Linked DNA regions of Danio rerio. The protein of the gene in region 1 interacts with the protein of each later gene in a biochemical or structural test. Links are inferred from orthologs where the notes say so. Each region holds a gene or a part of one and is shown in the gene's direction. Other genes may lie near its edges.

Region 1 (5,795 bases):
GCAATTAAATACAAAAACGCAGAAAATGTGTAATAATAATAAGCTATTTAAGAAATAAATTATTATATTATTCACTCATTATCTTTTCAGCTTAGTCCTTTTATTAATCAGGGGTCGCCACAGTGGAATGTACTGCCAACTTATCCAGCTTATGTTTTATGCAGTGTATGCCCTTCCAGCCAAAACCCAACACTGGGAAACACCCACACACTTTTGTATTCACACACATATGGCCAATATACTTATTCAGTTCACCTAGGGCGCATGTCTTTAGACTGTGGGGAAAACCAGAGCACTCAGAGGAAAGCCACACAAACACAGGGAGAATTTGCAAACTCCATTAAGAAGTGCCAACTGACCCAGCCAGGGCTCAAACCTGTGACCTTCTTGCTTCGAGGCGATCGTTCAACCCACTGTGCCACCATGCTGCTTATCTCTGAGCATAGTATAGCTATTTTAGAATGGTGGTCCCTTTTAAAGGGATAGTTCACACAAAAATTTCTTCATCATTTACTCAAATTCACATCAACAATTCATAGTTTTCCTTTCCCCTTTAACATATCGATTCTCAATATCGTTACTATCTGTGACATTGTTTTCTACAGTAGGAAGGAACATGAGCATTGTCTGATTAATAAGCAGCAAATAATTATGTCTGGGCAAAGGCGTTTATTTCCGTCAGCATTGTGGAGTGAATGTACCACTGAACTTGTATGTGGCTCATACCAACAATTTTCCTCCTGCTTTCACACACACAGCAGAATTCCTGCTATTTCCTGGTCATGTTACAACTTCTCATTGCAAAAAAAAAAAAAAAAAAGGAACACAATTTCTGGCATTTTAAAAGGGCCTGTTCACACATGATCTCTTTACTGCAATTTACCAGTACCAGAAAAAGATTGTATATGTAAAAGCGGCCATTAACATCCAAAACATGAGCTGTATATTGTACAATTAAAATGATAACAATTATTAAGTTATTCACCTAAAAATATGAGTAAATAAGAAAAAATAAGGCACAATAAAAAACTGTAAAATTTATAGTAAATGCTGTAGTATTGTACTGCAGTAAAATACTTGAATTACAATCGGTTTTGGTTACTCTATAGTTGCTCTTGTAACACGAAAAATATGCTAATATAAGCAAACGACACAAATACTGTAGTTTTCCACAACGATATGTTACATTATACTACAATACACCACCACAGTTTGCTGTATTAAAAAAAAATTATATTAAAGTATTTATGACAGTTTATCAGATGACAATTAACATTACAGCTTACTGAAGCATTCCCTATCTAAGTGTTGTAAATATTATAATATATACTGTTGAATATACTTTACTATAAAAGACTATGGAACAACGTAGTTTTTATTATATATTAATATAGTACTTTTTCACGTGGAATGAATTTATTACAAAATAGATACAAGTGAAAAAAATAAATAAATAAAATACGGCAAATAAGCAAATAAGCAAATAAGCGTGTTACAATGTAACTTAAATGAAACCAAATATTTTTCTCTCTTTATAGTATAAATTATGGAGTCAGATCAGTCTAAAAATACATTTACAAAATAGGATTCATACATGCATAGCACAATTCACATTTACAAAATCCAATTTGGATTTACACACAATTTGTGATTTTACAAGTAAACATCCTAATATTTTCGCCAAATGAATTGGATTTGTGTATATATGAATCGTGTTTTGAACTTAGGAATCGATTTGTGTATTTATGAATTGTGTGTTGAACTTACAAATTGGATTTGTGCAATTATTAATCATGTTTTGAACTTACTAACTGGATTTGTGTATTTATGAATCATGTTTTGAACTTACGAGCTGGATTTGTGCATTTATGAATCATGTTTTGAATTTAATAATTGAATTTGTGCATTTATAAATTGTGTTTTGAATTTGTGAATTTGATTTCTATTTATGAACTGTGTTTTTAATTTTATGAATTGGATTTATGTATTTACGAATTGTGTTTAGAACATACAAATTGGATTTTGTAAATGTGTATTGTTTTGTGAATATATGAATCATATTTTGTAAATGTATTATTTTTGAGACTGATCTGGCTCCATAATAAATTGGCTCAATTGAGACGGTGGTTCCTTACAAAAACATATGTCTTATACTTCATTATATAAAATGCCCTTGGTGAACAGAAATAATACACAATGAATAAAAATAATAAATAATCCTGCTTTTATTTTGACAGTCTGTAAGGGCCCTCACCCGGAACACTTGAGGAGATGTTCTCTGGTTCGCCTGCTCGCTAAGCCGTTAGCATGGCTACTGCCTAATCACAGACAGACTGCAGTGCCGCAGCGGAGAGGACAGCGACGGGTCGCCTCCACTTTCCTTCACATTCTTCCATTGTTTGCGCTTTTGTTTTGATCGAGATGGGGACACGAGACGACGAATACGACTACTTGTTTAAAGGTAAGTACGTAATACTTTTGTCGCGACTGTACAAGTTAAAGCGTCTCCGATCATCGTGGTTATTGTTAGTTAGTGTGGTTTTATATTAAACAGTAAAGGCCAGCTAACCGGCTAGCTCACTTCGAGCAGCCCAAACAAACTCCTGCTCTTCGGCTGGAGTAGCGTATTTGAGTCTGTATCGTTATATGTATAATATTATTTAGTTACTGTGCATTGGGTTAATATAGATGTTGGTTAGCATAAAAAACACAGTTTTCCAGAGATCCGACCACACCTTGAAGCGGCTAGCTGAAGTTAGCTGACACTGTCGCTGGATGAGTTTAACGGAGCAGGCGGAAATGGGAAACGGCCTGTATTCCCGAATGTTTTTTCAAGCCTGTGTGTCTTTGTTGTTTTTTTGGCCATAATATATTTTGATATACTTAAACCACCGTTCGCTGTCATTATATCTTAGTTCATATACTAAAACTGAACTGTGACCGACGCTGTCATGACGTTTAACATCTCCTTTTGTATTCCACCGAGATAAAAAACATCATATGACATTGAAGCAACTTGAACAACGAAGGAATTTCTTCAATTTGGATGAACTGTTCTTTTAAATAGATAATTATTTGTGTCAGTTTGTTGTCTTGGAAGTAAATACTAGATGTCAGGTGATGCGGCCTGTTTTTCTCGAATATGTTGCTCATCGTTTTTCTTTCATTAAGCAAATGTGGAGTTTCTATCATTTGGAATAAGCTCTTGAAACAATAAGTTTAGTCATATTTGCAGCACAGTTGACTCATTACGTATGTTTTCACTTCTGTGAGACACATGTAGTCATTTAAGAAGTTCTGTGCTGTCACGTGAATCGTAGTGATAGTAAACTAGCTACCTCTACCTGTCTTCACGTAAGCCCAGAACCACTCGGAAATCTCCACCAGTTTCTGTCATAACAAAATGTCAAAAAATGTCACCAAAAATGGTAATCTCACCCACATTGTGAAATAAATAAATATATATATATATTTTTTGCCATTTATTTAAATGTACTTCTCTCAAATGATGTTGTGTGGTGTGTTGTGACATAGAGCTCTGAGTGTGAAGAGGTTTGTTCCTTTATTTAATGTAGACAGAAGTGTTTGTGTAAAGAGTCATTTAACTTAAAAATTAAAATGTGGCAATCGTTTACTCACCCTCATGTCATTCAAACCAACATTTCCATTCATCTTTGAATTGAAAATAAATTTGACAGATCCCTTCACTGAAAGTCCATCTAATAAAAACTGACAATTTATGAAATTCATAAGTAGATCTGGCACGATAACCGTTTTCAAGGTAAACTGTGGTTCAGAAAAGGTTTTGAAACTGCCAAAATATTCTGCTATACCATTTAAGATATATTATATAAGATTTTTTTAAAACATTTTTTTTTTCGAAGATGCTCTTTTGATTCGTAAAGAAATCTGTGTTTTTGAAACTAACGAGTAAAGCAGAAGTCTGTCCGTGCCAATAGCCTAGTGGTGAAGTGTGCTGACATTGCACCATGGTGCTCATGTCGACCCGAGTTCAATTCCTGGCTCAAGGTCCTTTGCTGACCCTTCCCCTCTGCTCCCAATACTTTCCTGTCTGCAAACTTTACTGTCCTTTCAAATAAAAGTGAAAAAACCCTAAAAAATAACTATAAAAAAGGAATACAGCAGAAGTCAATGGCTGCCTCCGAAATCGCCTACTACTCAGTAGATACTGCATTTGAATTTAAATGTACTACTAAATCTGCTGTTTAAAAAGTATATTCTGTACAGTATGAATGGAACTCGGATGTACTACATACTCCATTTTGTCATGATTACGTGACCTACCTGTATAAGTTGCGTCGCTTCACTCTCATTCAAAAATTCTCCCACAGGGCATTATGAGATAGCACAGTGTGTATCGAATGCACAATTCTCGCATATACTGTTTTTTGAATTCTATGAATTTGGACACACTGGTCCGGTCTCATACTGTTTTAGCGTAATTTATGATATAGAAGTATAGACACATTTCGGACACAGCCAATGATCCATTTGAATTTAGCCTGACATGTTTACAGTTCCAAAATATTTTAAATATTTCTTAAAATAAAATGATGTATTGTGTTCAGAGGGGGAAAAGTTTTTGTTTTTTACCCAGACATTTAAAAAGAATATATTTTAGAGCAGTGATCACTATACTGTGAAACCGTGATGTTTTATCCAAGATTATCATACCACCAGAATCTTACACCAGCCCATGCCTGTTCATTAGCACTCTAAATTTATCAGGCTCTTAAATCCAGTGCTTTTGAAGAGAAGTTATTGTTTTATATGATGAACCCATTTTGATTGGTTGTCATATTTTAATACTGACGGACATGCATATTTAGAGTCAATCAAATATGGTAAACAAACTGTCAACATTTTGATAAAATTCTCATGTTTTACGTAGAAAGTTTTAAGTTGAATTTTGAAGCATATCAGAAGTCTTGTATGCTGAAAAATGACTATGTAAAATGTAGTTTCTTTTTTGAGTTTTTGCGCTCCAAAATTTGTTAAACAATGAATTGTATGTGTGGAATTAAGTAAAATTAGATTTTTTTTTATGCTCGCTTTTCTTGAAAACATGTAAATAGTTGATTTCCTATCACAGTTTCTCTATTGTTTGAGTGTGAATGTCATTTTGAGTAGAAAATGAACTGCAGATGTCATAAACTCAATTTATAATACCTGACAACAACAGCAATGAAATGGCAGTGTAAATTTACCTGGAAAACTGGAAAGTGCAAAATGCTCCAGGGTGTGTTGGGAACAACAGTTTCAGAAAGTTGATATTTATTGTTATTGCTTTCATATATATTTGGGAGTCACGACCAAAACAACAAAGGATTCAAAGAAAAATATACTTTTTAGAAATTTTATTGAGCAGTAATTTAGAATATTGATTTTCATTGCTGACTTTATTGTTTAATGTTTTTTTATGTTTTAGTATTTTCTTCATCACAGAATCGTTTATTTAATCAGTGTAGTAGTTTGGAAAGACACAAGGCTTGAGTAAATAATGTGAGAAGCCTAATTTGTTATGTGATCTATGTCAGATATTACACCATGTTGTGTTTTATTTTGAAGTGGTCCTAATTGGAGACTCTGGTGTGGGGAAGAGTAACCTGCTGTCTCGTTTCACTCGCAATGAATTCAACCTCGAGAGCAAAAGCACTATTGGAGTGGAGTTCGCCACACGTAGCATTCAGGTGGATGGAAAGACCGTCAAGGCTCAGATCTGGGACACGGCAGGACAGGAGCGCTACCGAGCCATCACTTCAGCGTAAGACTTA
Region 2 (4,998 bases), on another chromosome or scaffold:
AGACTACCAATGATTCCTCTGTTCAGGAGTCTGTTATGACAATACTGCAGGCAGATAATAGCTTGTTCATAATTATAGATACTAAACTCCAGAATTCTTGGATTTGCCTGCAGCTTAGCTGAAAACAAGCTTATAACTGAGCAGAAATGAGGGACAAGCGCAGATTAAACATGACAATTTCCATTTGTGCCATTAGACTGCCTTGTGTGACTTCGTTCATTTACAGGTACAGGGTTCAACTCTCCTACTCCTATTCATATTTGTTTGAATTTTTATTTTCATAGTCAACATGTGTTTGGCCTCTATAAATTCTAATTACTGTTAGTAAATACTTAGTAGGGACTTTTTTTTGTGGTTACAGATATGGGATTAAGGAATACTGACTAAGGGCCTACTCACACTATGCCCGAAACTGAAAGCGATACGTGACTTTTAAGGGGTTGTTTCATATGGATTTATTAATCATTCTTACTGTTCAGTGATCGCAAACTGCCGTAGTTTATTAAAGACGCAATCCCCTCACTGCACGCCAGCTGCGCGCCTTCAGCAGACCTCCTTATTCCTGCAGCACGAGAGCTTTATGATTGTTTATGAGCGCCAACAGTGGCGGATCTGTCCGGTGAAATATCTGACTGCGTGTCACCGCATCCCTAAGGACTGTTTGGCAAAATATTTGACTGCATGTCAATGCATAACAAACGACTGAAACAATATAACTAGAGAAATCTCCACAGTGCTACTGGGTGAGAGCGTATGGCAAGCCGTTTTAGCATTTAAACCTTGTTCTGACTATCCATAAATATATTTAGAGATATCTCTAATTATATTTTGAGTAGTCATAATTCTAATTCGACTAGTTAGATTGGAGATATCTGCAAATATATTATGACTGATTAGTCATATTCCTCCATTGACTTCCATTGAAAAATATTTGCAGATATCTCTAAATAAGTTTTGACTAGTCACAATTGTAATTAGAGATATCTCCAAATGAATTTTGACTAGTCAAACATCCAATTCAAGATATCTACAACTATAATTCGACTATTTGTAAATTAATTAGAGATATCTTCAAATATATTTGTAAATATCTCTAAATATGACGAATTAAAGACATCTCCAAATGTATTATGACTAGTAAAAACTCCGTTAGAGATATCTCTAATTACAATTGTTACTAGTCAAAATTCATTTGGAGATATCTCTAATTACAATTGTGACTAGTCAAAACTCTTTTAGAGATATCTGCAAATATTTTTCAATAGAAGTCAATGGAGGAATATGACTAGTCACAATATATTTGCAGATATCTCCAATCTGATTTCGTACTAGTACAATTGTAATTGCAGATATCTCTAATTGTCATTCTGAGTAGTGGAATTATAATTATGACGCAAGCGTGCCGAGGCCCGATATGGTGTGAGCGCGGGCCGTCGGGGGAGACGGGGGAGAAAGCGTGCTTTACCCCGGTTCGAGGCAACTGTACCTAGTGTGAGTACGGCCTAAGGCATTGATATGTGCTTTTATATGTACTAATAAAATTATATTCATATTGCTACACACAGATATGCACATTTTTTTCCCCATATATCTGTATTTGTGTGCGTGGTTAGCGATATGAATATAATTTCACAAAATCACTTAAGTAATAAGTAAAATAAGTAGTAAGGAAATAATTCATTGTTTTACATTGACTGGGATGATTTTGTACGAAAGTGCATCTGCATAAAAATATAGACAAAATAAAAGAAACTTATTAAAGCAGAGATGAGTAACTAAAGCTAAACAAAATTAAATAAACAGCTCTAACGGTGTTGAGGTACAGACATTAAATAATCAACTGAAAAATAACACTACATAGTCTTTATTGTAAAAATAATGCTAAAAACTTTTAATAAATAGTAAAAAAAACAAGTTTAATTGAAGTGGAAAACTTTATAATGGTTTAAATTTGTCTGAAATCTTAGTCACAGGCCTTAAAGTCATCCAAAAACATATCACACCATTAGATTAGGGTTTAACTCTGACTTCACAATTTAGGCATTCTAAACTTTGGTTACTGGTTAATTATAATCCCCTATTTGCATTGCAAATCTTGCAATGTGACTGTTGCTGGTTTGCACAATATATTTTGCGGCCCGAATTTGTCATTTAGCCAGTGGCTATAACCTAAACTATTTATAAATTTTTTGTAGAATAATTGTAGTTAACAATTCTTATGTGTGATGATTAAAATCTTTAAACTAGCTAAAATAAATGGTCCTTCACAAGTTGTCTGCCACGCAATTTAATGAATACCATTTGTTTTTCTTTGAAGCTGGTACAAGCTGGTGGATAAGCATGGGAAGCAAGAGAAGGACCGTGGGGAAGTTATGCTGGACATTCAGTTCATGAGGAATAACATGACAGCCAGCATGTTTGACCTCTCCATGACAGAGAAGCCTCGCTCTGGAATCGCTAAGCTCAAGGATAAAATTCGTGGAAAGAAGAAAGACGGCCTGTCAGATTCTGCTTCTGCGATTGTGCCCTCATCAATGGAAACAGACAGCGAAGGAGAAGGAGAGGGCAGTTCAGACTCTCCAAAGAAGAAATCAAAGCTGAAATCCCTGTTTGGGCCAAAAACTAACCTCCAAAGGAATGTGTCTCAGTCCATGTCAACCCTCGGCACCCTACCTGAGAAGAACAGTTCACTTAGCAGCAGCAGATCATCAGGCCTTAATGTGGATTCTCCTGATGGTAAAATAAATGATTATGCATCTTGTTAAGAATACTTTATTTTTATTTATTTTTATTATTATTATTCTTAGGTGAGTTTTGTTATTGTAAGCTATTGAGTACTTATTGTAAGTACAAAGTAAAAAAACATTTAGGCCATGTGTAATTTGTAAAACATTCATTCTTAAATCATTTCAAAACGTTTTAATATAGATATTAAGGAGCATGTCACACTGTAGAATAGAGTAGTGGTTCTCAACCACGTTCCTGAAGGACCACCAGCACTGCATGTTTTGGGTGTCTCTTTTGTCTGTCACACCAATTTAAGGTCTTCAGTCTCTGCTAATAAGCTGATGATCTGAATCTGGCAAGTTTGCTTAAAGGTCCATGAACCCCCCTCTCTCAGCAAGGTGTTTTCACACCTCTTACTTTTGAAAAAGTAAGGAAAGTGGGTGTGTCCAGTTTTGCATGAAAAGGGGAGTCTCATTATGTGCAGGAGTTCTCTCCACCAGATTCCCTTCAGTCACATTATCTGGTTGATGACAGTGCGATCCACTGCTTTATCATTTTTACATTTTTAACCTTTCATGGCATCGTCAATCGGCCCAACCCTACACTGCACTGATTTTTTTGTGATCTTATTTGACTCTGTTGTAATCTTAGAATGATATCTGTTGTGAAAACATTGGTCTGGCACCCCACCTCTCTTTGCACTTCGGGTTCAGAGGACGGATGTAACTGTTGTACAACCGTTTAAAAAGACACAGAACAAAGCATTTTCAGTCTTTAATATTGTAGTAATATTACCTGGAAAAACTGGAATAAAGCATTTAACAGATTGTTTTAATGCACTCTTTTTTTTGATTAAACTTAATCACTAACATGTCAAAAACTTAAATGTTAAACATTAGCATACAAAAACAATACTATCAGTGCTTATTACAGGATTTAAATATACTTGCGGTGGTAGCTGGATTAAAACACACCATTTACCCACATAAATAGTTACCTATATGTGGCAAACAAAACATTACATTTTTTACAATACTTTAATTCATTATGACAATGTTATACACTGTTTACTTTCAATGGGTTAAAGTAAAAAAAAAAAAAAAAAAAAACTTACAAAAAGACATCCACTTTCTCTTACCTATTAAGGAGCCATGAGCACCACTGATTGTTATTTCTATGTTATAATTTGTTTAATAATGTTTATAACATTTAGAATAACATTTTTTTCTGCTTTATGTTTTTATTCTTAACTTATGTGTGCTTGAATAATAATAAAAAAGTATTTATAATTTATGTATTATTTTATGTATTTATTATTGTATCTGTTGATAAAGACTGATGGGATCAATACTAAGTAATGGCTGCTGACAACTGAAAATTGAGTAGTATTATATATTATGGTTAGTAAACCCTGTATAATATTGTAATAGATAAATGACAAATTCATAAAATAAATTAAATCCTCAAAATGTGCTGTTAGGTAAGAATCCTTGTAAGATATCACTATAAAAGCTATAATTGTGAGATAGCATTTTACTGTAGTCAGTTGAAAAATCACACAATTCCTAATTATAATAACAGAGCAATATATCACTTTACATCATCTTCCATTCACACAAAAAAATATTTACAGAAGTAAGGCGGAGTAGCCATAATATTTTTAAATCGGCATGGATCGGAAAGGTTTCATAACAGAAATTCATTAGGTTGAATAGAAGTTATCTCAATCAATTTGGACCAAAAGCCAACAAATATATTTTGCTTAGTTATGTAATTGCCTCCACAATAAATATTATTTTAACAATGTTAAACTCGTCATAAAAAAAGAGAAAATAATATGTTGAAAATAGTGTATACTGCTAGTTTTTTTGGACAACATTAAAGTATGTAGCTAAGAAATATATATAAAGAAATCCATTGGCCCAACGGGGCCATTAGATATAATCATTAGTGTTTAGCCCTGTATAAGCCTAAAATTTCATTCACAATGGTCTTTTAGGAAGGTTCCTAAAAAGTCTTACATTTGACTTGAAACCTGCAGAAACCCTGTTTATGGCTTTACAAGCAGAGGAATATGCATTTTAACTTCTTATGCATCAAAAATGCGCTCCAAACTTTTTCTTCATTGAGGCATGTTGAATTATTCTTCCATCATTTGGCCAAGTTTACAAATTGCATTGTTTCCGAATTAAAAAAAAAAAATTGTTTATTATTTTCTGCAAAGCTGCTTCTGATCATGATGTGTCCACACTAAATGGTTATAAGGGACGT

The links. The genes of interacting proteins can lie anywhere in the genome.
Region 2: the proteins of rab11a (region 1) and rab11fip1a form a complex in vitro, tested with the Homo sapiens proteins (2 studies listed by BioGRID, with this or other methods). The link is inferred for Danio rerio from reciprocal best matches to the Homo sapiens genes RAB11A and RAB11FIP1.

What each region holds. Positions count from the first base shown.
Region 1 is NC_133193.1:20,515,164-20,520,958, forward strand, and holds the start of rab11a (ras-related protein Rab-11A), read left to right. Parts: upstream 1-2,301; 5' UTR 2,302-2,421; coding exon 2,422-2,461; intron 2,462-5,589; coding exon 5,590-5,785; intron 5,786-5,795. UniProt on the Homo sapiens protein: The small GTPases Rab are key regulators of intracellular membrane trafficking, from the formation of transport vesicles to their fusion with membranes.
Region 2 is NC_133183.1:44,885,697-44,890,694, reverse strand, and holds part of rab11fip1a (uncharacterized protein rab11fip1a), read left to right. Parts: intron 1-2,317; coding exon 2,318-2,736; intron 2,737-4,998. UniProt on the Homo sapiens protein: A Rab11 effector protein involved in the endosomal recycling process. Also involved in controlling membrane trafficking along the phagocytic pathway and in phagocytosis. Interaction with RAB14 may function in the process of neurite formation.